Kluyveromyces lactis: one gene and its partners. The protein of the gene in region 3 interacts with the protein of the main gene of each other region in a pairwise test. Links are inferred from orthologs where the notes say so. Each region holds a gene or a part of one and is shown on either strand. Other genes may lie near its edges.

Region 1 (4,225 bases), about 110 kb from region 3:
CCTGATTCAGTAGATATGACAATATATTTAACATTTGTACCGAAATTGCAACTACAGACAGCATTAAAGACCTCTTTAGCAATAATCACGACCGTATTCCCATTGTTTGTTGCCAATAGCTTATCATCGCGAATAGCTGATAGACTGGTTTCTTTATTAGCTGTCTTTGAAATAACATATGATAACGAATTGTCCGTTGTATCTGAAAGGATCCGTTGTGATTGATAACCAACGATTTCGTACTTCTCACTTGCATCTTCATCCTCATCTTCATCCTCATCTTCATCCTCTTCTTCATTGCCAGCGTTTTTAAGTTCGTCATTAACAAGGGTATACTTTTTCTCATTGAACCAGTTACTCCAGGACAAAAAGTTATCTAATTTGCCGATTAGGAGTTGCCCTTTGCTGGTTATGGAACAGCAGCCGTTGCGCTTGATATCATCCGTGATAAAAGCATTTATATGTTTCAAGGTTATCCCCTCATCTGTTTTCAAAGGACGTAATGTGATTTTATCATCAATTTCGTAAGTTACCCAAGATATGCTTGAATTCAATACCACTAGTGGAGTGAAATCCGAAATCTTCTTCTTGAAATCGTCTATTTTTGAATCATTTTCTCCAGGTTCATCATCATCATCATCTTTGTGATTGATATCTATATTGTCCAAGAGATTTACCTGGACGGGCTTCGTTCCGACAAATCTAGTACGTACATCGAACACTGTGCCATCATTGATATTGAGTTTAGATGACAGATAAACACCACTTTTCATACCTACGTGGATCTTAAGATCCGACGTGTCCCGCATGAAAAGTAGAGAGTGCGGTTTTGATATTAGTGACTGAATAGCACAGATAGTGAAAAAATCTGGATGTTTACTCTGTAAGTTGAGAATCTGCAGACTAGAATCTTCACATCCTAATACACAATAGCCTGACTTTTGACCGGCGAGCAATGCAATAGAATTCACTGTAGAATCCATCTCCACTCGATCCTGTAATTCGTTTAACGAATCTTCTATGATTTCAAAATAGCATATTTCATGATTTGTTAAAGCGACAACTAACTGTGTCTCATTACAAAATGCTGTCACGATGCCAACACCAGCTGGTGGATACCATTCAAGTTTTTTGGTGTATGGACCATCATGCATTTCAATAATTTGTAAAAGACAATCCCGAGTAACTTGAATAATACTTCTTTGAACCATAGCGCCAACAAACAATGATGGTTTGTTCAAAATAAATGGGTTTGAATCTCCACCAAAATCTTCGACAGTTCCCTCATGGATCTTCAAGATGGTCGTTGAGGTTTCCATAGAAAGAAATATCAGACTGTGAGTTTCGTTTTTAGGAATTCTAACGGTCCAAAGTTTTGATGGTATTCTAGGTAATGTAGTTGATATAAGTTCTTCAAAATCAACCGCAGAAGTCAATTTAACAAGATTCTCAGTTTGATTGGCTGCAGCCAATATCGTGAGTGGTGTCGAATTTGATGCATGAAATGACGTCAAGGGATTTAAAGAAGTTAAGGAGTCAAGAATGGATAGGTTTTTCAAAGTGGACTCTGTTTCAATAAATGATCTCCTTCCCGGGGTATAAGATGTAATTTTTTCTAGATCTTCACCAAGACTTTCGAACTGTGTTAAATAAGAGGTCCCGAATTCTGATACGTTGAAAAGAGCACCTGACTTGAAAATGTGGATGTCTTCAGAAGTGGGGAGTGTATCAAAGTATGCAATTTCAAGAACTGGCGCCTTAGTTTCTTCATCAGGGATAATTCCGACCTTGTACATATCTCCGTGGTTAGACTGCATTAGGATGAAAAAATCTTTCTTCAATTTATGAATAGTACCGTTGATGATATTAGTTGACGAAACAGTTTTTCTGACGGGGAGTTGAACAGACACTTCATAAAAGCCTTCTAAGTCTATCAGAGTCAAGTATCCATCATAACCACAAATAACAAATGGATTTACCGAATCTTGATCAGTTTCATCATTCGGTCTAGTTTTAATCTTATACTGTTGTAAATTTGGGCATTGCATAACGAAATTGATGGATTTATCCTCTAAAAGATGCTCTTTCCGGAGTAGCAACGTGTTAAGACCCAAATCCATTGTATAAAAAGACAAATAGTAATCATTTGTCCCAGATTCTACCTCTATGGCAGCATTCACCGGATTATCAAAACTTACATCACAAGCTGCCGATGCCAAAGTGATTCTATCACTTCGTTGAATCTCTATAGGAGAACCAACAACCAATTTCCCACGTTGCCAGTCAGCCAACACGCACATCTTTGAACGCTCAATCCCACTGAAAAATACACATCTACTCTGTGGATCCGAAACCATTTGATATTGAGGTACAAACCTTCTGATCCCAGATCTGGAAATCGGTTCGTTTGCCAAAGTACGCACGTACACTTTCCCGCTCACGGAATCCCTCTCAAACTGCCAAAATGTTAAATTCCCAGAATCAGTTATCAACACCAAAATCGTATGTGAACATCTATCCATATTCAACTTGGTCATAGAAAGAATAGTAGCTGCTATAGGCCATTTACCCAACGCATCCAATGTTCCATTGCTAACATCGTACAATTCGACACAATCCTGTGTAGCTAGACATAATTGCAGTTCCTTCCGCTTCTTCGATGACCTCGGTCCCTTAACACTTGTTGTATCAGCTTCTGCTGTCGCTAATGATGATCTATCCAAAGTAAAATCACCGATGCAGGAATGAACGTAGTTCCTATGTCGTTGTAAAACAGTGTGCCATAGCAACACTTCAGAGTCCTGAGTCATCCGATCTTCGTTAGCGGGTAACTAAACACACGCTTCAGACGATGATCAGAGGTGTATACTGATGGTAATCAGTAGTGTTGTTCGTCAACTTGCACTCAAGAAGTGCGCTGTTGTTAGTTACTTTGTTTACTTTCAGATTTGGTTTTTTGCCGCCCTTATGAAGAAGTTAGGAAATACTATTTCAAAAACTTACACGTGACCAACAAATCCCAAAAAGTCAACAACATGTTACCCTGACATCACGTCACACGAAAAGATGCGATCACGTGACCAGAATGACATGAGACTCCACATTGTTTCGGAAAAACTTCTGTTGGAGCAGGAGCGAAGTGCTCGTTCAAAGCGGAATAAGAAAACACAGAAACATACGCAAAGGCTGTTTATCGCTCCATATGGACGGAAAAACTTACGATGAAGAGAGCGTACAGGCATGCTTGTACGTTGAGAAAGAAAGGCACACAGTCATTGTTTTAATCCATTACGAGATCAGCATGTAATTCGATACTACTTGTTCCCTTACCGGCACTGGCTCTGGCACTGGTGTCGTTAAACGGTATCACGTTTTGGTAACCCCACAAATGTGCACCTGATGGTGCAGAAACGTAAATATGGTTCACCAAGTTCAAAGCACAAGGCGTATTACGCTACTAACTCTAAGTAGGTGTTTCTCTTCTTCAGAAAAGAAAAACACCGTATGAGGATTCAAATGCCATAGCTTGACTGGTAGACACTCTGTATTGGTTTTTTTGACTTTCTCTTCTGGTCAGAGGAGCAAGTATGAGAAAACTCTTTGTCTGTCTCTACACGTTGATTTATACATTGTTACTGGGGAAATATTAATCGGCCGCATACAGATATCGGGTGGACTCATATTGGCAGATCAGCTCTGTGTGTGTGTTTATTTTTTTCTTCTTCCTCTCTGTGTGTCCGTTCCTTTTCACCAGGAAAAACCTTAATAATATATAATAACGGAAACATGACATATGCTAAAACTTGGTAAGTACGAAATGTTTTCTTCTAGGATAAAAGGCTGAACTCTAGAGTGTAATTTACTACACCAAAGCAAATTTGCCATCCGAACCAACCAGAGACGGTATAAGGTTAAGATCAGATTACAACAAAGCAGTGCTAGTTACTATACTCAGTACTTTTTCAAGATTTATCAGAGAGGAAGGCGAATATTTCCGGTTTTGTGGGAAAATTAACATCAATAACCAATAGCAAACTAGTCGCAATGGAGGTTTACGTGCGTATGAATGATGATTTAGAGTACGATTATGCGTTTCAAGTACAAAAAGATGATACTTTAGAACAAAAAATTGCCTTAATATTTAATAAGGAAAAGGGTCTTTCAAGGTTTATGGTTTTGAAGCCATCAATTTTTTATAAGAACGAACCATCTGGTTTCAGGAAAT
Region 2 (4,060 bases), on a different chromosome or scaffold from region 3:
TCAGCCAGATCCGAATCTCTGGCTGCAGAAAATTCAACGTCTGGAATAGGTATCACTGAAGGAAACTTAAATATTGCTACTCCAGGAATGGCACCCCCAGGTTTATCTCCTCCCGGAATGGCAGCACCAGGAATGGCAGCACCAGGAATGGCAGCACCAGGATTGGCAGCACCAGGATTGGCAGCACCAGGATTGGCAGCACCAGGATTGGCAGCACCAGGATTGGCAGCACCAGGATTGGCAGCACCAGGATTGGCAGCAGCACCAGGCAACGTTCCTCCAGGATTAATGCCCCCAGGATCTGTACCGACAATGAATGCACCTGGGCTTACCCCTTCTACGATATCAACACCCAGTTCGATACCGTCAAACCAGTTGCCACAAAGTTTTACCGATAATGAAACGAATAATTAATACAATTCGTATTTTTTCTCAATAGCCTATATGCCAACCTGATTAAATGCGTGTTCTAAATCTACAATTGTATTATCTGTATATGAATATAAAGTTACATATCAGCTGGAATTTTTCTCCCATTGTTTTGCCAAAGCTAGAAGATTTCGAGCAATAGGAGGTTGAGCAACACGATCGTCCGGAAAATCCAATTTATATGACTCTTGCTCAATGTTATCGATAGTAACTTTTTCCCTAACCAAACTTGGTTGTCTAGCATTGACCTTTTCCAAAGTTTCTTGATTACCATGAACTTTCTCATACTCCAGGAGAGATTGTAAAACTTGCTGGCGTTTCTTATCTTCATTATGTTCTTTGAAATATGAAATTGCCTTCTCAAAAATAGCCCTGGTGTGATGCTTATTCTCAGGTGTAATTTCAAAACTGAACTCCTCTTCGCCATCGTCGTCAAAATTCCCGTCTTGATGAGATTGTTGATAGGCTATTAGTTGGGTCTCAGTTGGAATAGTGCTCTCGAAAAGCGCCTGGTTTATCCATATGTTCACGTCATATCTACTCAAAATCAAATACTTCTCGTACAACTCTCTAGCCTTTTCATATTCTGCTGCATCAGTTTCAAAAGCGATATAGCGCTGAATGACAATCAGCTGGTCCGATTCAGATAATCCAACATTATTGCTCATGGAGATATCATAGATCCCTCTTGATCTATCTTCATCTCCTAAATTTTCTTCTAATTCTGCATAATCCAACCATGATTGCACTGAACTAGGATTGAAATCGATGTATTTCTCGTATAGCTTTCTCACTCTATCAAACTCTTTTAGCCTTATCTCCAAATTGATGTAATATTTAAACACTTTTGGCTTGGGGGACTTTCCTAAGCTCACACCCAGAATTTTTCTTGCTTTCAGCAAGTTGTTCTGCCTAATTTCGAATTCTGCATACATTATCCACAGTTTACCGAATGTAAACTTCTTATGTGGAATGATGTCGAGGATGTCTTGATAAACCGAGCGTATCGTAGGCAAATCATTAATGGTGAGCTCTAGATAGACCAAGTATCGTACGCAGATTCTTATGTACCTCTTCCAGCTCGAATCCTTTACCAGGGACTTCGGCTTTGCCAATTCAATGAACGACTGGAAAGCTGATGTCAATTGCTCTTGATATTTTTCCTCAACCAGGTCAATATAGACCCACCAAGTAGAATAATGATAGGGATCTGATTTTAGATATTGCTCGTACTCGGCTTTCCTTTTAGCGATTACTATGTCCTCCATATTTTTCGAAGAGCCGAACTTCTTCTCGAACTGAATCTGCTGTTCCTTTAATGCTTCAGAAATTGGCCATCTTTCAACTGCTAGTCGGTATAACGTTCTAGATCGTTCATACTCTCCCTGAGAAGCTTCCCAGGAAGCGAAGCTACCAATAACTCGTTCAATATCTACCAGTGGTGTTCCGCTGAAACTTGTGAGTGTGTCTAGCGCGAATGAGAACACTGTTCGTACGGATGATATATCTCCATGAGTTTGTTCAAAACGAACCCATTTCAACCAGGTATCTATTTGAGGATGGACTAGAACAAACTTCGAGTAAATGTTCCTGACATTTTCAAAATTCAAGCACCTTGTTTCGAACTCGATGAAGGAGTCCCATGCATCGGGACCAGGTTCAAATGAACACCATCTTGTATAAATGCCTCGTACAATACCCTGATTTCCCAAAGATTCTTCCAATAAAAGATATTTGAACCAGAGCTTATCAACACGAGGAAGAGCGTTTGTTGCTCTGTCTAACAAGTTCCTTGCATGGTTGATATTTTTCCATTTGATTTCACTGTCGATGTATTGAATCCATAGTGGAATAAACCCATGATCAACAAGAAGAGCGCGTTCATAAATGGACCTAGCTCTTCGTATATCTTTCTGATCAAATTCAAATTGAGCATACCTCATCCATTGACGAAGGTCTAACCTATTTCTTTTCAAAACTGTCTCATACTCTGTTCTTTTCCTTCGTTGCCAGTCTTTCAGTTCTTCCAAATCTAATATATCTGCCTTCGTAGTAGCTGCAATCTGCTTCTTTTGGCTAAAGGCATCCTTCAAAATATTATCGGCAGTGATGGCTTCATTGGATAAACTATTGTCACCCATGTTACAGTATAGTCAGGTAAGTTATCCGTGTTTTTCTTACTTTTGTTTGCATCGTTGTCGTTAAGTTCATCTGTTTCTACAATTATAATGTTCGCACTAAATTTGATATCTGAATCATTATGTATTTATAAGGTTCATTCATGCATACAAGGAAAAGCAACAAGCATGTGTTACATCCTTCCTTTGTTTGATAATTGGACGGTCGTGTAAATGTAAATTATGTCATTCATAGTGTTAGCTTCCAATAATTATAGTCGTTTTATTAAATGCAGAGTAATTCCTCCAGGTATTTATCTGCAAAATACTTATACACATACGTATCTTGAGGTTTCGCAATGCAATGACACATGGCTCTCAACAACCGCCTCTTAAAGTTAGAACAAGATGTAAAAGAGATCCATCTTGCAAGTCGGCACTGCCGATTGTTGCGTTATCATCTCTGATTTAAAGATAGCATTACTTACTAGTTAGTAAAAGAGTCCCTACATTAATTTGATATCAAACTCTTCTCAGTTCTGAATTATCAGTTAATTAACATACATTTGTTTGCCCTGGAAGATCAACTTCTGCTGTGATGGTGGAATACCCTCTTTTTCTTCTAATAGCTCTTTGATATGATAGACCGTTTCTGAACTTTGAACATCTACGGAGATTTCCTTCCCTGTTAATGTCTTGACCTTTAATTGCATCTTTCTCAACCACAAACAAGCAACTGATTGTCGATTCTCTGAAAATGGTGATTAATAGTTGTATCAAACAGTAGACTAGTTGTTAAGCTTCAATTTAATTACTTTCTTTTAGATGACCTTTTGCATACGTTATTGTTCAATATCAACTTTTCAAATACAATATTATATATGCGATGACTTCCATGTTTGAAAAGATACAGGTGCAGAACAGATATTGATGCGAGCTATAGCTCATCAGGGCTTAGGATAACAGGGCGATGCTAGCTACACCATACGTCTCTTATGATTATAATAAAGTATACGAGCCAAGCGAGGACTCTTTTCTTTTATTAGATGCATTAGAAGCTGATCTGAGTTGGTTGAATAACAGGTTCAATGACGCAGTACCATTGACTATAGAAATTGGTTCTGGTTCTGGGATAGTCTCTACGTTTCTTATGCAAAATGGTATACCAAACGCCAATGGACTTTATTTGGCAACTGATTTGAACCCTTGGGCATTGGACGCTACCTTAGACACTTGTTCGAAGAATGGTTGCAAGAATAGCCATTTTGATGTATTACAAACAGACCTTACGTCTTCAATAAGGGAAAATGAGGTCGACCTGCTTGTCTTTAATCCACCATATGTACCTGCAGAAACTGTACCAGAACTGCCTCATTCAAATCATGCTGTTCGTGATGATGAGTGGCTCTTTCTAGCATTGGATGGTGGTGATGATGGGATGGTGGTCACACAGAGACTATTGAATGGATTGGACAGAATTCTTAGCTGCAACGGAGTAGCGTACATATTGTTTT
Region 3 (4,284 bases):
GAGCGACGTATGCTCCGTTATATAGTTTCCAATATGCGTTCCGAACATTCTTAGCAGGATGAAATAAACCTCCCCAGGCATAATTCATAGAAACACCTGGTCCTAGAGCCATTCTTAGTCCTTCTAGCCCCTCTAGGATTCTGGAAATAACATGAGGTGAAGTTTCAAAGACGTTTGGCAATAATAAATTCATGCAATGGATGAACGCGTCCTCTAATCCTCTTCCTGCACAATTGAAAGCTAAATGCTTTATGCAGGTTGCTGCAGTTTGTCGATGAACCAAGTCCCTATCTGTTAGAGCATCCTGCAACAACGGTATAAGTGGATAAATGTAATCCTTAGACATGGGACCAATGTATTCTAAAATAAAGGCAAGTGCCTTTAAAATACCGTTCTGTACGTTTGTGTCAGGTGTTCTGTATTCATTCATCAATGCAGGTATGACAACAAATGGCCCACATGTCTTAGCAACGATACCAATTGCAATAGAGGTGTTAACACGAAGTTGACGTTCTTGCACCTTCAAATTATTTAACAACGTTACCAAAACATCCTGAGGTCCTATCGCTTTGGCAATATATCCAAATGTTCTGTTCGCTGCCACCCTGATGGACTTCACAGGACTTTTTAACATTTCCAAAAGCTCAGAACAAATGCGCATCCATTCTTTAGGAGAAACATATTCAGGCCCACGCCTGGCAATTCTTCCAACAAGTTTAACAGTAGATTCCTGGACTAAAGGATGGTTGTTTCTCAAAATTGGTGTCAATGATAGTAAAATTTGATTCGGAGGTGGTTGTAAGTCAGTTAGCCTTATCTGTGCAGCAGCTTTGTCCATTGCGGAAATGATTGCAGCTAACACCTCTGGATAAACTTCGCCTAACGATTCAAAAAGGATAATGTTGAATTTATTGATAAGAGCTGTTTCTTCACAGTGTTTGAAAACCGGGATCAAGAGGGCACATAAACTCGCCGCATGTGTTCTAACCAAAGGTTTTTTGTGTTTCAAATGTTCTAGAATAATACTTGACACCGGCGAAATATACGGTTTCATTCTGGTATTCAAAGATTTGGCGACAGTTCCAATAGATCTGTAGACAATTCTCTCACCATTCGTTTGATCTTGGAATGCAATAAGTAAAGCATCAAGCAACCTCGCTTCAAGCCTTTCATCAACATCTGTCATTCCTAATGCTTTCACAACTCTGTTAACTGCATGTGCACCCATTGTTCTGAACGGTTCAGATTCATCCTTTAATGGATATATAAGCTTTTCAAGCGTGAATGCAGCTCCAGTCTTATTAGCCAATAAAACAGTAGTAAATGTTACTATGTTGTTGAGTTGACGATCCAAAGCCGATCTACGAACCCAAAATTGTTTGAAAAACTCTGCTGCTAGCTCTTTTCTCAGATACTGAGGTGTTACACCTTCAGTCACGGAAAGCTTTTGTATAACAAATAGAACCGTTTTCTTCATATCTTCGTTCGGTGAATTGAATTCTCTCTTTACAATCTTCATCACTTCTTCAGCGTAATACGACGCATATTCGGGATCCATCAACGGAATGAGAAATCCTAGAGCCTTCAAAAATGCAGCTAGTTCTCTTCCCCTGTTTTGTTTAACACCTCTCCAAAGTGGTTCGAGGACCGGATTAAAGCGCTCAATACCATATGGCTGGCAGCTTTGTGCCAATGATGACACTGTTTGAGCGGCTATGATTCTCACTGGAGGATGTTCATCTTGAAATCCCTTCTCTATACATGCGATAAGATCGTCGAGGTATGGTAAGCTACCAATCCCTACTAAAATAGCAATTTGCTGAATTATCTTTATCCCAGTATGTCTTGCCTTCCAGCTCTTTTTCGATCTACAAACCAATCGTAGGAATGGTATTGTTTGACTTACCCCGAAGGCTTTCGATACAACGGCCATTGCTCTCGCCGTCGTGTTTCGCACATACTCATCCTCATGGTCGAGATCTGGTCTCATTGTGTATATCATTGTCGGTAGTCCCACGGCTTTTGCCAAAGTAGTTATAATATCTCTACCTGTAGATCTAGTCAAGGGCACAGGATCTATAAGCATAGGACATAATACTATTAGGAGCTTATGTGTATATGGTTTTACCAAATCCTGGAGCTGGAAAAGAATTCTATCCATAAGTTTCAACATTAGTTGATGCTCTTCATCTTCAAGTGTTTTATCGAGAAGAATGGGCAAGATCGAATCAAATAACAATGGTGCCCCGAAAGAGGGTGCCTTTTGAGTGAGTGCTCTGAGAGCTATTTTCCTAGAGCTTGGTAACCCATTTTTCACCTTAAGTACCAATTTTAAAACCTGTTTCTGTTTCCTTTCCTCTTCAGTCATATCTTCTGGAGACCTTTCATCAAACAAAATTGCGAAATGTTGTCTGTCTGAAGGCTTAAAGAACTGAAGATTACGTACCCCTGGAACTTCAGTAACCATCTCTTCCGAGAGCTCAGTTATAATATGCTGCGAAGTCTTGGGCATCGTATATCCACCGCCACTTTCCTCTTCCTTATCACCATCCTTATCGGTTTTCCTTCTTTTCACATCTTTCACTTGCTCTTCATCCACTTCTTCATCCAAATTCCTAAGGAACCTTCTCTTATGATAATCAGACTGTTTATTATACAAGCTTCGTTGCTTCTGGTTGGCTGTCAACTCATCATCCCCCTCATCTTTCCCTACAGTCGATTCCAATATGGCTCTGGGAGCAGTGTATTGTCCTGTAAGAGAATGTCGCTGGCCCGACTTTTCGAACTTGATAGCTTCCATTTTAAGTACAGCTGTTTAATACCAAACTCGGCAATAGCAATAAAGATCCTGATTGGTGCTTGCCTTTCAGTTATACCTTTCTTCCTTTTGATTCAAAGGTTCTTGACATCAAAATTGTTACTAAGTTGTAACTCGAATCTTTAATTATAAACACATATACAAAACAAAGAACGATACTTCTCAACAGAGAAAAGAGGATAGTTTAGTTAAGAGGCCAGAAAATAGCCTAACTTTTAGAAAAGTATTATACTCTGGGTCCATACCGCATGAGGTTACAAAATTGGATTCCAGTTTTGCTTCTAGCAGCCATCGTGACGGCTGAAGTAGACTTTGAAGTTAATCCAGTTGACAACGAAACAGAATCAGTTCAGCAAGATGTTATAGATGAAAGCTGGAATGCAGAGCCTGGGGAATCATCGAGAATAACACAGTCCTCGAAGTTTCTTTCACTAGAGCATCCTATTGAGTATAATTTTCGAGAGCATCTGGATCTAACTCCCTTGCCTAACAACTTTTTGCTTGCAAGTTTTCAGTTCTATATGCAATCAGAGCCATTTGGTATAGATAGAGACCAGCACGAATCCAGTGAATACTCTCATCACACAGTTTTCCCGAAGCCCGTTGGGCCCATTATGTCACAGACTAATACCAGACAGTTACACTTGAGATTTACACATGGGCTATGGGATTCACAAGAATGGGGCCAGCTTCCACACAACGGGTTGAAATCTGGAGGAACAGGTGTGGAATTATGGGCTATTGTGGAAGCACCATCGAAGGAAGAAGCGTTGAAATCATGGATAACGTTGGCCAATTCGTTAAGTGGATTGTTCTGTGCTTCCATCAATTTCATTGACACTTCAAAGACGACGTTTCCGGTATCATCATTCTTACCGAAAGAAGACGAAGCGATCCCACTACTGAATCAAAGCAACCATCTTTACCTCATGAGAGCAACTTTAGCCAACGAACCGGTTTGTACTGAAAATTTGACCCCATTTGTAAAACTTTTACCAACAAGAGGGAAATCTGGTATCTCCTCTTTGTTAGATGGCCACAAGATCTTTGATTCAAATTGGCACAGTCTGTCGATTGATGTCAATACTGTTTGTGACGAATCAACTGCCAATTGCCACTTTGTTATGGAAGAATTTATCGAAACAGTGGTCAACGTACCAAATGCTTTGGCCAGAGCTGACAGACCAATTCCGAAGCCTTTACCAGGCGACGAACTTCGTTGTGACACGAATAGACCACACGACGCGTTCCAATGTTTCCCGTTACCTCAAAGCAAAGAAGTTAGTTTCAGCATCTCAAAACTATTTGGTAAGAAAATCCGTGGAGGCAGCTTGCTTGGCGAACAAAGCTCAAAAATATGTGTTCACGTTCCCTCACATTGGGACGTTATGATACAGGTCGACGAATCATATTTTGCAACCGACGACAACTGTTTCGATCTCAACAATAACAAACCACATGATGTT
Region 4 (4,015 bases), on a different chromosome or scaffold from region 3:
ATAGAACGAAAAAAGAGAAGCCATTGCTAAGTCATACTGCCGATGGGTCTATGTGGTAGTAAGCCTAGTAAAGGTGTGCCGTTGGCCGCTGATAGTTCAGCACCAAAATCAAATAACAAAACTACATCAAAAAAGAGCACGGGAAGACCGATTGATGTCACGCAAAGTCACCATACCTTATCTCCAAGAGAAGCTGCAAGAGTGGCCGCTGAACAGCGAAATGCTAAACTTGAAGCTGCCAACGCCAAAAGTGAATTGAGTCAGAAACTAGCCCATGAGCGTGCCAAATCCAGGAAAACGCATGTGATGGAAATTGCGCAGAAATGAAACATGTTGGTGAATGATTGAAATTGAAACTAAATTACATACGATATTTACCTGATTGGATATCCTTCACTGCTGCTTTTCGTATTCCCTCTTTAACCTTTGTATTGAGGAGTTCTAATGCCATTGTTACGTCACTTTCTTCTGCACCTTCCACAATCAAATACAATTTAGGATCATCAGTGTCATTCTTTGGCCCTTTTCCTTCAGGGTAGAAGCTACCTTTACTCTCAAAATTACATCCTGTCTCCTGTTTGATGTTCGAGACTGTCTCTGTTTTCGTTGCTTCCCACCTCGCAAGTTGCGGAAGGTCGTTAATATTTATATGTGCAAAATATGTTGTGGAATGTCCTTCTTCCCTTTTACCTCTTGTGTATTCCATTTTGGTTGCTCCGCTTTCTTCCTCTGTCACATCTTCTTCATTTTCAACGACACCATAGTCAGTATATTCTTGAGACTGTTTTGCTTCGTTTAGCTCGTCTAAGTGATCAAGACCTTTTCCACCAAAACCCTGGATCAATCTGTATTTTCCAGTCTTTAGTCCACTCGAAAATTCGTCGTTCATTTCCTTCAATTTTTGATAGACAACCATCGGCACAGAGCTCAACTCGTTCTCTTTCATGCACTTCACCAAAATATAGGCAGATGCAAGTTCATCAACCATAACGAAGGAGAGCGCAACGCCGTTATTAGTCCCACGACCAGTTCTTCCTACGGTATGAACGTATTGTGCGATGGTCTTTGCCGCATTGTATATAATGACAAGAGAAACCTCTGGCACGTTTAGACCTCTTGAGAGTACCTCAGTACATATCAAAATTCCGTTGTCAGTTTCTTTGAATTTTTGCAAGTTGCGAAGACGTTCTGCAGAAGGTTTGCCAGCATGGATAGGAAAAGTGGTGATGCCATTAAGTAAAAGCTCGTCATATAAAAGGTCACAAAGCTGCTGGCTTCCAACGAAAATAATTGTCTTTTCATCTTCACCACGATGCAAGGCTAACCGATCCGAAAGCCTTTTAAGTAGGAACTCAAATTTAACATGTTCCTCATCAAAAATTTGGACTCTCTGCTGAATGTTCTCATTAATAAGTGATTTAGAGTTTATAGTAATTTGAATAGGATTCTTTAAGGTTCGCGATGCAAAATGTTTGAGCTTACTTGGAAATGTAGCACTAAAGAGAACACACTGCTTGTCTGGACGGATGCAGCCCATAATTTGGTTGACTTGGGGTCCAAATCCAAGGTCGAAAAGTCTATCTGCCTCATCCATAACAACAAACGAAATTCTTGTAGGAGATAACAAATGGCCTGAATTTAATGTCATAAGATCAATGAATCTCCCTGGAGTTGCGACAATGATATCAACACCTCTTTTCAATTCATTGATTTGTTGCTTTAACTCCGAGCCTCCCACGCAACAGATGCTTGAAATGCCAGACCCTTTACAAAATTTAAGTGCCTCTTCTTGTATCTGAACGGCCAATTCTCTGGTCGGTGTCAATATAAGACCAATAGGACCAGTCTCATCAGGAGCTAAAGGTGGCTGAGCCTTGATCTGTCTAACAAGTGGTAGGAGAAAAGCGACCGTTTTCCCTGACCCAGTTTTTGAGATACCAATAACATCTCTGCCTGACATAATAGCCGGTATTGCCTGGCATTGAATTGGTGTGAGGGTTACAAACTGTAGTTCGTTGGAGATAAGATCCATGATTTCAGAGGACAAACCAAGCTGTGACCATTTCGTTACAGGTTTGGGACAATCTTTCCCTGAGATTTTAATGTTATCTAATGATAATCGAAGTTCCTCCACATCTTTCTCTGACATCAATCCCAAATCGTTCGGTTCACGATAAAGACATTTATTTAATGTTATTAAGTTTAAAACTTTAGAGTAATCAATGGCTTTTATTTTCTTTCTACCCTTCTTTTTGAATAATATCTCTGAATCAACCGGAGCTTCCTCTTGAGATATCGTTTTCTCTGAGCTACTGTCGTTAGCATCTTCATCCTCTGAAATATTATCAATAAGTCTTACTCGGTTAGTATTCGAATCTTTATCGATAAGCTTGTGGATATATTCATCCAATGCATCATTCCCATCATCCAAATCATCCTTGCTGTTGTCTTTTGTCAGAACATGAGTATTTGTATCGTTTCTACGCGGCTTGAATAACGTTGATGTGGAATTTTCATCATCAGATTCACTATCACTTCCCCCAAAAGCAGGACGTTTTCTCGAACACTGTCCCCTTCGTTTGTTCCTGTCCCTATCCGCAGACTTTATACTGGTAAGTTTTATATCCTTTTGCTTGAGTTCATCTTGTTGTTTCTTCTTCTTCTTCCATGCCTCTAGTTTCTTCAGTCTCTCTTCCTTAGCATCTACAGAAACAGATGCTGTAACATCATTATTCAGTTTCTGTTTTTTCCACTTAGCAAGTTTCTCTTGCCTAATCCGTAGCTTTTCCGTTTGATCCATAACGCTCACCTTCGTAATTTAATTGGGTCTTTTTTCTTCTTTCTGTGTGCTATCTTTCAAGTATTAATCCTGAATGGTTTTAAGGTTTTGTTAATTCAATATTATAGGTATTTTGATATTGAAGGAAATCCTTTCCAAATGGGTATTTTAAACTACTAAATGAAGATGGGAAACACGCTACCTAGTTCATTGCATTCAGTTCATATGACAATTGTCTATATTCTTTGTTATAGTGTCTAAAGTTGACTGATCTTCTAAAGCATCTATTCATTATTTCTTCATTTAGTCTTAAATAACAACTTCCAAAGTGACATCTGAAGTCAAAATGTACAAGGATTAAAAAATGCTATATGAGAGCAGTTGAAAGGACTCTTCATGAAACATTCGAATATGGAAATGAAGCTGAAGCATCCTATACGTTAAACAGCATACTTCTTTTGTAAATGCCTGATCCCATCATTCCCTAAGCGATTTAGCCTTTTTTAGTTTAGCTTTCCCGTTAATATTTCTATATAGTCGATCTTTAGAATGTCATAAAAGTAGTTTCATTCCAAGAAGGTAACACTGACTTGGAGTTCAATAAGGCTTTCGAAACAGGCCGCGACATATCAATTGCGCAAGCTGTCAGCATGGTGTTACTACCTGAGAAGCCAGTATGGATGTCCCAGCAACAATATGAAGAGCAATATGGTTCGTTGCTTAAATTGAAAGAATCAGAGAAGTGCAATCATGAGGACAAACAGCTAGCATTACAACCCAAAGAAAGTAGCATCGGATATTCGACGCAGGAAAGAATAGCAAAGCTTTCAGTACCAGAAGTTCAAGATGACGACAAAAATAGCAAGGTGCGCAACAGGAAACATCAGCGATTTGATTTAGAAGAGAAGAAGAAAAAGCTGAGGCTGCAGAAGACTATAGAAGAACAAATAAAACATCATGATATTGAAATGACAGCTAATAGAGTCGTGAATGTTGACCATGTTGTCAGGCAACATTATAATGAGCGTACGTTTCTTTCCAAAAAGCATAACAGAAATTATTCTCCTATCATTAAACTTAGAAACTTTAATAATGCTATCAAGTACATTCTCATTGACAAGTTTACAAGAGCAGGAGATGTAGTCTTGGAGCTTGCCTGTGGTAAAGGTGGTGATTTAAGGAAATATGGTGCCGCAGGAATATCACAGTTTATTGGTATTGACATTTCCAATGCTT
Region 5 (2,682 bases), on a different chromosome or scaffold from region 3:
TCAATGCCGTCTTGAACCAAATCAAACCAGGTTCTCAACAGCAAATTCAACCACCTCCAGCAAATTCTCTGCCTTACAATTTCACTGTTCCCCCACATATGGTTCCTGGTGGTATTCCTCATCCTCTTATGATGCAGCCGCCTTTCATTCCGAATAATGAGCATATTGCTTATGCAGCTCCTCCTCAGTCACAACCTGTACAAAATCCACCATTAGATAAAGAGGCATCCAGGAATCTTAAGAATCTCCTAATTAGAGATGAGAATGGACGTACAGCAAATGTGGAGAATAAAGACTCAGATGATACAAAGAGATCTTCTCATTCTCGTGGCGGTCGTCGTGGCCGTAGTAATCGTGGTCGTGGTGCCTCCGGGAGGGGTGGTCATTTCAAAAATTCTCCTAAAAAAACTGAAACCTGAATGTTGGTTTGAATGGACTATTAACAGTAAATATTATATCACTTCAGTAAATAATGCTTAGTATATAAGAATAGAGACACTTTCAGGTTCAACTTTTCAAAATTCCCGGTTTGTTGTTTGTTCCTTTATTTTTTGATCAGCGATATCGTGACTCTTAGCAAACCACTTAGTTTCAAACCCATTTGATCTATCAACTCCATCCCATCTATAACCGGGAACGATACCGAACCGATTTTCTGGAAAGTTTTTCTCGTAAAGCCTTCGACCCAACAGTGACGTATTCGTTCCTCGCAGGGTGTTTCCTTGATTCAATGGATCTTCGGTTGATAATAATGCACTTTTCTCAGTTTTGCGATCAAGTTTTGATATTTGTACTTCGCCTATATTTCGTATTTTAAGTTCTTCTTCCTTACGTACTTTCGCTGTCAAATTAGCCTTTTCTCGAAGTTTCAATTCTTCTTCGTATCCATCTATTACCTTACCTTTTTCGTCTCTATATACTGTGTTCTGATTCTTCTTGAGAAGCCCTGATTTTTGCATAGAAAGTTTTTCCTTTTCTGCGATCTGCTTTTCCATCTCTTCTGCTGTCTGTAACCCAGCAAAGGCGCCTGACGACATCCTTTCCTTACTATCGTCCTTTTTGTCGACATCAACGTGTTGTACAAGTTCCAACTTTTCAGTTTCAAGGTTTTTCCAAAGAGACTTTCCTGTTTTATTTGAGCTTGCAGCCTTCTTGTTTTCTTCAGTAATAAGATTAGCCTTGTCAATAATATCAATATTTCTTGATGTGACTCTTTTAGACTCATCGCTCTTTCTGTGTGATGACTTATCCTTAGACTTTTTCGTCTTCTCTTTACCGTGCTTTGAGCCGTAAGACTTCGCCAAAAAATCGTTAAGTGACATTATATTAATTGGGTCGGTTTGCAATTCTACCCACCCTAAATGCTGTGATAAGCTCTACAGCTATGTAAACATCTGAGAATCTGCTTCTGTTGGGGAGCTCTATAGCCATGTTAGCCTTAATCTGAAATCAAAATAAGGTTTTCTTTTCCAGAAAAAAGCATAAAATATCAACAATGTAACTGTTAGTTCGATAAAGAGCTAAGGTTTCGCGTCACCACTTTGTACTGTAGCTAGTTTGTTAGACCCTTACTGTGGACACATATTGAGTTCTCAGGATTCTGCTTGGCAAGAATCTTTACTGCGATGAGTCAAGAATCAGAGGAAAGCCTAGAGGCATGGCTACATCGATTAGAATGGTCTCAGTTACTTTCTTTACAAAAACAATTAGTATCGGAAATGGATCGACGGTACGTCGAAATAATTCAGCCACAGGGACAGAATATTCAAGATGACTTGGATGAATACATGAAGGACGGTCTTAGCAGCTATGATGACCTCCCGTCTACTCAGTTTGATCCAATACATGTGAAGAAAAACGCGACTGTGAAAAGTACTATTGAACAAGAACACGCTGAACCATTGGCAAGAGAACGTAATCAAGGACTACAACGTGATTTAGAGCTGATGAGTTCCCCTTTGAAAGAAAACGAGATTATCCTTGATTCCCAAGCGTCAGACATCTTGAAGGAGAATGATATCAACATACAACATTCACATCAGAGTGTCATAGCAAAATCTAAACGTGGTAGGTCACCAATAAATGCAACTACTATGCCACAAGCTAATAGGAACAATGAGAAGGAGAATATTAAAAGGGGTAAAATCTCGGTTGATTTCTCCATAAATCCAATTACGAAGAAACCTTGGATCTATGAAGATTTCAAGATCAATGAACTAGTGTCCTCAAAAAATCGAGGAAGGGGATGCAAGAAATCCAATAAAGTAGCTCGTTTTCACGCTCAAGCTGGATCACCACTGAAAAGTAAACAAAACGTTGTACTAAACAGTACCGGGTTACTCGAAACTGTCGACGAAACTAGTGTGTCAGACAGGTCAAAAGTTCCCGACCTTCAGTTTCCTGACGATTCCTTCGATAATCTACGTGTTAGATCAAAATCTCCTCCTGGATATGGAAGGCTTAACTTCCCAACCACCCAAGAAAGATTGGACGACAAAGAGGAGTCGAGGAAATTGCTTTATCAGAAAACAAAAACACGGTTTCTCGAAGCTACGAATAATTTAGTGCCTATATCTGAAAGAGAATTTTACTTCAGGAACTCCAAATTGAATGACATCGTTGACGATGGCAATTTCACTTGGAATGAAAACGAATTGAAGATATTCACCAGATAAAAGGACG

Evidence for each region.
Region 1: the proteins of HSH155 (region 3) and RSE1 interact in binary tests that used the Saccharomyces cerevisiae proteins (3 or more experiments, as listed by UniProt). The link is inferred for Kluyveromyces lactis from reciprocal best matches to the Saccharomyces cerevisiae genes HSH155 and RSE1.
Region 2: the proteins of HSH155 (region 3) and CLF1 interact in a two-hybrid assay, tested with the Saccharomyces cerevisiae proteins (2 studies listed by BioGRID). The link is inferred for Kluyveromyces lactis from reciprocal best matches to the Saccharomyces cerevisiae genes HSH155 and CLF1.
Region 4: the proteins of HSH155 (region 3) and PRP5 interact in a two-hybrid assay, tested with the Saccharomyces cerevisiae proteins (3 studies listed by BioGRID). The link is inferred for Kluyveromyces lactis from reciprocal best matches to the Saccharomyces cerevisiae genes HSH155 and PRP5.
Region 5: the proteins of HSH155 (region 3) and BUD13 interact in binary tests that used the Saccharomyces cerevisiae proteins (3 or more experiments, as listed by UniProt). The link is inferred for Kluyveromyces lactis from reciprocal best matches to the Saccharomyces cerevisiae genes HSH155 and BUD13.

What each region holds. Positions count from the first base shown.
Region 1 is NC_006037.1:720,802-725,026, reverse strand, and holds the start of RSE1 (U2 snRNP complex subunit RSE1), read right to left. Parts: upstream 2,811-4,225; coding exon 1-2,810. Other genes in the region: GSF2 (Gsf2p), read left to right, coding at 4,045-4,225. UniProt on the Saccharomyces cerevisiae protein: Involved in G2/M transition. Required for pre-mRNA splicing and endoplasmic reticulum (ER) to Golgi secretion pathway. U2 snRNPs associated protein required for the pre-spliceosome assembly.
Region 2 is NC_006042.1:1,644,102-1,648,161, reverse strand, and holds CLF1 (Clf1p), read right to left. Parts: upstream 2,571-4,060; coding exon 516-2,570; downstream 1-515. Other genes in the region: mRNA splicing protein MSL5, read left to right, coding at 1-414; NEDD8 family protein RUB1, read right to left, coding at 2,925-3,009, 3,111-3,259; MTQ2 (S-adenosylmethionine-dependent methyltransferase), read left to right, coding at 3,517-4,060. UniProt on the Saccharomyces cerevisiae protein: Involved in pre-mRNA splicing and cell cycle progression. Required for the spliceosome assembly by promoting the functional integration of the U4/U6.U5 tri-snRNP particle into the U1-, U2-dependent pre-spliceosome.
Region 3 is NC_006037.1:834,169-838,452, reverse strand, and holds the start of HSH155 (U2 snRNP complex subunit HSH155), read right to left. Parts: upstream 2,801-4,284; coding exon 1-2,800. Other genes in the region: GPI-anchor transamidase subunit GPI16, read left to right, coding at 3,067-4,284. UniProt on the Saccharomyces cerevisiae protein: Contacts pre-mRNA on both sides of the branch site early in spliceosome assembly.
Region 4 is NC_006042.1:966,375-970,389, forward strand, and holds PRP5 (DEAD-box RNA helicase PRP5), read right to left. Parts: upstream 2,801-4,015; coding exon 362-2,800; downstream 1-361. Other genes in the region: KLLA0_F10483g (uncharacterized protein), read left to right, coding at 43-327; ABD1 (mRNA (guanine-N7)-methyltransferase), read left to right, coding at 3,430-4,015.
Region 5 is NC_006042.1:2,095,178-2,097,859, forward strand, and holds BUD13 (Bud13p), read right to left. Parts: upstream 1,323-2,682; coding exon 516-1,322; downstream 1-515. Other genes in the region: chromatin-binding exonuclease XRN1, read left to right, coding at 1-419; ssDNA endodeoxyribonuclease SAE2, read left to right, coding at 1,626-2,675. UniProt on the Saccharomyces cerevisiae protein: Required for efficient splicing and pre-mRNA nuclear retention. May also be involved in positioning the proximal bud pole signal.